Saccharomyces cerevisiae S288C: one gene and its partner. The gene in region 2 interacts genetically with the main gene of each other region. Each region holds a gene or a part of one and is shown on either strand. Other genes may lie near its edges.

Evidence for each region.
Region 1: mutations in ANS1 (region 2) and YSR3 together harm fitness more than expected from each alone (negative genetic interaction), as found in Saccharomyces cerevisiae (2 studies listed by BioGRID).

The regions. Positions count from the first base shown.
Region 1 is NC_001143.9:533,234-537,159, forward strand, and holds YSR3 (sphinganine kinase YSR3), read right to left. Parts: upstream 2,049-3,926; coding exon 834-2,048; downstream 1-833. Other genes in the region: MRS4 (Fe(2+) transporter), read right to left, coding at 1-231; DYN1 (dynein heavy chain), read right to left, coding at 2,414-3,926. UniProt on the Saccharomyces cerevisiae protein: Dihydrosphingosine 1-phosphate phosphatase required for efficient ceramide synthesis from exogenous sphingoid bases. Involved in endocytosis and calcium-mediated signaling.
Region 2 is NC_001140.6:358,948-362,064, forward strand, and holds ANS1 (Ans1p), read right to left. Parts: upstream 1,235-3,117; coding exon 755-1,234; downstream 1-754. Other genes in the region: YHR125W (uncharacterized protein), read left to right, coding at 1-216; YHR127W (uncharacterized protein), read left to right, coding at 1,966-2,697.

The DNA of each region.
Region 1 (3,926 bases), on a different chromosome or scaffold from region 2:
CGAACCTTCCATTGTAGATATTTTGGATATCTGAGATATCATCCCTGTAGAGGCAGCTTTATTCAATCCTGCAGCCTGCACTCGGGTTTTCAGAGCATCTATTGGAAACATCAAAGAATGCTCCATTATACCTGCAAATGCTCCTGCCAGTAACTGGGAATGTAGCGGAGCATGTGATGGAAGAGCTTCGTAGTCGATTTCCTCAGCTATTGACAGTTCTGAAGTATTCATAATATTAACTGATATTTCGGTTGAGTTTTTTACTTCTTCACTTTGTACTTCTCACGAAAGTCTTCGTCAATAAACCTCTGATAAAGTGAAAATTCTATGAGATTCCAATAAAACCTCCAAATATCTTTATATACAGCTTACTACTTAGATAAGATGACGTTCGCCAATGGTAGGCAAAAGATAGCAGGGTGTTCTTGCCTTTCAGTCTTCGCCATGCTCTCATTCAAGAAAGGGTGCCAAAATACCGAAAAGAGACACGATCGGGGGTGTCAAAGTAGCGATTCCTGTGGGTTAAAAGAGGGTGAACCACGGCAAACATGCATGTGTAAAACCCAAAACGCCGATCTAGGGCCTGCGACGCATGGTACGAACATCCTGAAGGTATATAAAAGAGCTAAAGTCTTGACTCATGCCTGAAATCTTGATTTTTCATTGTTATATCCTCTCTATACATTAGTAAGCACCATAGATGGGCTGGCTATCAAAAGCGAGAAAAAAAAAATGCTGAATTCCAAATATGTACTCATCGGGGTGAATTTCAATGATGTGTTATGTAGATACAATATATATGTATAAGTCACTAAATGCATACATACGAGAGTCTACCTTAAGTTTGTCCAAGTGAAAAAAACTGGGCATAGCAAAAAGACGGTTGTAGGTATACCTGCGTATATGAGAAACCTTCCGACGATTTCCACTTTGGAAACACCGCTGTACAATAAACACTCTTCTTCTTCACTTGTCTCGTTATGGAAATGAACCTTTTCGCTTCTATCATCGTGAAATCTGAGTAGTTTAATTAACAGCGTGTAGACAGCTGTCTTGCTAATGACGTCTTTCCAAACAATCACAGAAGCGACACCTACCAGAGGCCTCAAGAACACCTTAGAACCACATGATGCGTACCTACTACATACAAGGTTCCATCCGTATCTTTCGGTTAACCAGTCGCTGCAATCCAGCCCACTGACTACGCCAATGAACGCTACGCTATCTTCGAAACAAGGACATTCATCAATGGGCCTGACGTGGTTAAACAGAATAAACAAGCCCCATGCTACACTCAAAAGGGGAAACCAGAGATGTTCACCAATCTGGAAATTTCGTAAAGCATGCACCACCCAGATTCTTATAAAAAAACAGATAGCTCCAACTGCGGCGCCGCTAAATAAATCCAGCATACCATGCATACCGCAGTAAACTCTACCAAAAACCAGGGTTAAGTAGTAAAATATCACCAGACTCAGTAAAAGAAGCTTTGTTGGCCATACCAGTGTGTCAGATAAACATATTCTCCAAAAGAATAATAGACTTACCGCAGTAGCGTTAGCAGAATGTGAACTGGGTGCACCATATTCTTTCGTAGTGTATTCACTTAGTGTGATTCTGTCAACTGGCGGTGATTTTGGCCTTGGTAGGCACCAATAATCCTTTAAGTAGCCACTCAAATAAATTGAATAACCAAGAACGTAGATCATGTCCCGTGTTAAATCGCGGTATCCAAGCCACACAGGCATGGGAAGCACGATAACATAAAACATGTGGGAACCCATAAGCGAAGTGTATTTGAAATAAACGTCTCTAAAAGGCGTTCTGTGCTTTTTTTGTAAAGAATGTACGAAATCTGATTGGTTGTCTGTGAATCTAGTTAGATACTGCCTTGTTTGAAACCTTAGCCACGACATCTGGCTCTCAAAATGCTCCGCTGGATGATTACCGGGATCTGCCAATAGGTGTTTGCCGCCGGAAGGAGCCATCTGAACCTTAATGGTGTCCTCGGTAACACCCAATTCAGTAACCGTCTGAATAATGGTCATAATTAAATTCTTTTACAGGCTTGCTATTTTGTATATTTTTTTGAAGACTACCACTGCCTAACTTCTTTTTGTCATGTTATCAATTCAACTAGATGTTGAGAAGGAAGCCAAGGCAAGGCTGATAAAAACTAAGAAAATAAGGAAAAATCATTATGTTATATAACATGAATTCTAGACGTACGTGCTCGTAGTTAGGAAGTATCTAAATAAGAGTCCCCACGTTACTTTAATTAGAAGCACGCCATCTTCCTACAACCGATTTTTTTGGATTGTAGATATCAGAGTCTCATCAAACAAGAGGAACCCAGAATAGGCACGTCCACTGAGAAAACCGCGGACAAGCAAGACACGCGTACCTGAAAAGGCTACATTTCTTGAAGAAGTTGTTCAGTTGAGCTAGCCACCTCTTTAGCCTGAAGACGTTCGTAATTCAAAATAGATTCCCTTGGCAATTGAAGCCATGAACTGAGTGAATCTGCAGGCTCAATCGTATTAGACAGTATGGCAGTAAGCCTTGCCCGTTCCTCTTCTTCACTTTGTTGAAGAAGAGGCTGTGGGATTCGTACCCCAGGAACGATCTGCAAATTGTCCGAGCCGCAGAATACGTGCGCACAAAGTTTAGCGACCACTTCAAGGTCTTTCTCTTCATCGATCTTTCCTCCGTATACGATCGTAGCTATGTGATCTCGCACTTGTGCCCAAGGAATGTTGTTGGTAGAATTGGTGGCTAATACATTCTCTAAATACACTGAGGCAAATTGAAAGTCGCAATCATTAAAGTAATACTTCTTGGAAAACCCATGAGGAACCAATCGGGTCCTGGCAGTGATCAAGGCATGAAACCATGACAATAGGAAGGTACAATACACGCTCCATACTCCTGAAATTTTACCAGTGAAAAATTGAGAACCCCATAGATCTTTGACGGTATCTAGTATACCTGGGATATCCTCATACACAAATCTATCAGTTCTTTGTAGCAATGGGGCAGGTAGTTTATCACCAGTCAAATGGCATGTCATGAACATTTTGAATTTCTCATGTTCTTCTGCCGCCTTTGTCTCCTCAACATGCTTGTGCAGATACGTTTTCACCCATGATAGCGACATTTGTATGTTTTGTAATAATATCCAACCACCTTCTATCTTAGATTTTGATATTTCCTCTTGAGCATAGTTTAGATTTTCTATAGACCCTAGCGGGATGATTTTTAACGATTCCTTCGAGGCTTTCGCCAATTCGATTAATTTGAATGTGCCATCAACATCTCGCTCGCTTGCCATTGTAAAATAGTTGTTCTCGGAATTGGCTACCACATCCGCGATATTCCACTCATCAACAAAAAACTCATTTTTGAACCAGTTCAACGCAGATATATACGATTTGGTTGTAACATAGTCCCATAAGTACCGCAAATCATTATTTGTATCTACGGTTAGTTTTGGTACGCCATCGCTACTTTCAGAGAGAACTCCAATCATAGTTAGAACTGCCTCTTTATATTGTTCACTTTCAATGTCGAATTTATACAAACAAAACATCGTCATAGCCATAATCATTTTAAATTTTTTGTCAAGAGCGGTGGAGAATTGACAATATACTTCTTGATATAATAGCCAAAGAATTTCATCTACCCGTGTCCTAGCTGCTCTTGTTTCCCTAGATTTCTTAATGAAGACACGTTTGAAACATGATAGAAATTGTCCTATAGAAATGCCGTAAAACCAATGAAACTGACCAAACTTCTCCAACATAGAGAATATTTTGACACTATGCTTACCGATAATAGAATACTCTTCTACCAGATTATCAAACTGTGGGAAAAACTCTTCAGATTCACTTAGCTTTTTTTCAATGTTCATGGCCTCTTTCTTCAGG
Region 2 (3,117 bases):
TTATCTTCAATTCGGCTTCAGTACTGTATGAAATACTCGCTAACATTTTCTTTATTCTATAATAGCACAGTGACACTTAAACGTCAAACGTGGCGCACATTAATATACGATGTATGCATTTGGCTTGACACTGCTGTAATAAGGAACATCATCATCCGTCAACTAGTAGTCACATTAGTAGTGTATTATCACATGGTGTGTAAGAACATTACGTAAAGATTGAAAAAAAGTCATCAAAAATAAAGGAAGCTGAAACGCAAGGACTAGTAGTGTAATAGAATAATATTGTGTAAAAGTATCGATACCCTTTTTGGAATTATTGTATCTTCGAGGGTGGCTTTTAATATATTTTTGAAAACCTAATATTATAACCTTTCACAACAACGAAATCCCAACTGTTGTGTAATAATTTTACTCAATTCTTACTATTGCTTTACCAATCCTTGTATTTGAGCTCTCATAAAGTTCGCTGACTACTTCTCACGACTCATGTCATCTCCTTATACTGTATATGATAATATACTGGTGGTGAATGACAGCAAACTCTTTCTGGAAAACTTCTTGTCCTAAAGAACAAAATCAGTGTAATGTGTAGGCCAGTGTTATGTTTTCATGAATATGACATCTGATAAGAATAAAACAACTGGTAAAATGACTGCTTTTTCGGCTTATAAAATTCTAACATGTACATATTTTTTATAAAATGAAAATACTATTGTCCTTAATTGTACAATTTTTACATTTGGAGGCCAAATTATAAAAATAATAGCGCTGCTACTCCAACTATATAACCCATGTTCTTGGATTCAACCTTCATACCAGCACCTTCATAGACAGAGACATTTGCGGTACTACTTGGGGTAGTAGCAGCGGTAGTCTCAGGTCCAGACGCAGTGGCTTGGATTTGACCATCACTGATCTGTGAAATAGCGGCATCTTGCTTTTTGCCGGGTTGATGATCTGCAACAGCGCTTCTATTGGAACGATACAATGAGCCATTCCAACCACCCACATCATATACAGCTGCATTAGATATCTTTTTCTGCTGAGCTGCTAAGGACCAAGATGCGCTGCTGTTGAAGGCTTCATCAGTCGAATTAAATTTTCCTTCTATGTACGAGTTCGTACTATTCGCAAATTGTACGTCCAACGTGTCTGAGGAGTTGCTTACTTGTGCATGTGCAACTAGAATATTGGTGATGGCAAACAATGTGGAAACTAAAGTGCACTTCATGGTAGATTAATTATGATGTTCGTTTGATTCTGTTCTATATTTTTTATATGCTGACTGAACAGATTATAAAAATTAAATTACATGAAGTATTGAAGTTAATGTTGGCTATTTTTGAGGAGGAGGTTCACCTTTATATAGTATTCCTCGAGCTACAAAAACATGGATATTTTTACAAATGCTAGTAAAAAGGAAAGAGGTCAAAAGAAACGTTTGGCATCAAAAGTAATCAAAGTGGGGTCTAGATTTATAATTTGTACTACGAAGAATCGCGACTCAAGGTACCAGGTACGACTGAAACTTTCTTTTTGGATTTTCGAAGAGAGAAAAATTAGTTAGCATAAAAAGAAATATAAAAAAAAAGGAAAGGAAAAGTGTTCGAGACTTTACCATACAAAGAAATATTACGGTAGAAAAAAGAGCTGCACTTACCCAATACATATTGATGAGGTAGTATTCACGGTGAGAACAACTTACATCAACACCTCAGTTTGCCGAATCTGCAGTGATATTGTATCCAAAGTCTACTTTTCATCCTCATTTACTGTCATTACAGAAATTTGTCAGGAAAAGCAACCGGGTAAGGGAACTTTCAGGGCCAACGCGAAAAAAAAAAAGGTCCATCCATAGATTTTTTAGAAGATACACACCGTGAATTGATTAGAGATCATAGTAACCTCAAAATATACAATGTCTTAGATTGGAGCAGGCAGAAATATCTATCAGAGCACAAAATGGCTAGAAATAGAACAACCTCCAAGAAAAATGTTCAAAGTAAACGCTTAATAGACAGAGTGGTTCCCATGGACAAGATTAAAAAAGTTGGCGTAGCGAAAAAAAAAACCGTAGAACACACTAAAGAAGGATTTAGCGTTGTCAACGGTAAGCTAGTAAGCAGCAATGACGTCGGTGTACTGTTAAGAGAAGCACAGGGTGCTATCGATAAAAGAACTAATGTTTCCCAAAGAAATAGGAAAAAGGGAATAAAGAATAATAGGCCCCACAAAGACATAAACAGCAGTCCTGACTGGGGCAATGCCCACAGAGGAACCGATTGGCAGAGCGAAAAAGCAAACGGCATGAACAGGGCCAAGAACTCTCGGAATTTTACCACTAATATTAAATTGCAGCGACAACATTTTGGCGAAGAAATACAAGGTGGCAGCCAGCTTGTGATATCTACAAATTCAGATGCTTCAGATAAATTGTTAATGCTATTCAACCTAACTTTGGGAGTAAACCAAGAAAACTTGAAAAATGTTCTGGAAAACATTTCTCAGGTGCAGATAGCTCAAATTAGGGTTAGAGACCTGCCTTCAGGATCTGCCACCGCTAAGGTCCGTCTGGCATATCCTACAACACAGTCTTTGGAGAAGGTAAGAAAACTGTTCCATGGCGCTCTAGTTGATGGAAGGCGCATCCAAGTGGTGATTGCATCTGATGAATCGTCCCACTTGTCGTATTAGAGTTTGTCAACGACACTCACAAGGTATTTAATCAGCAAAATCCCCGCCACAAACTATTTTTTTGAAGACATGCTTTCTCATGACTGCCTAATAACAATACCTCATTCTACTAGTAATCGACCTATGTAATTATTTCATAAACTATAAAGCAGGTCATTGCAATAACAGAAAGGCCGGTTTTTCTATAAGCTTATCTCATCGCATAAAAAATCGACAGTTGTAATTATCTCCGGCGGACTTTTCCCTTTCCGTCTTTTTTTTCAAAATTTTTTTTTTTTTCACTTCTTCTTTCAAAGCTGCCTCAAAAGAGATATATATATTGGTAAGAATCCTCTTCCAATACTAGCTTCATTTCTTCTTGAACCATGAACCCGTTATTCTTTTTGGCTTCTCCATTCTTGTACCTTACATATCTTATAT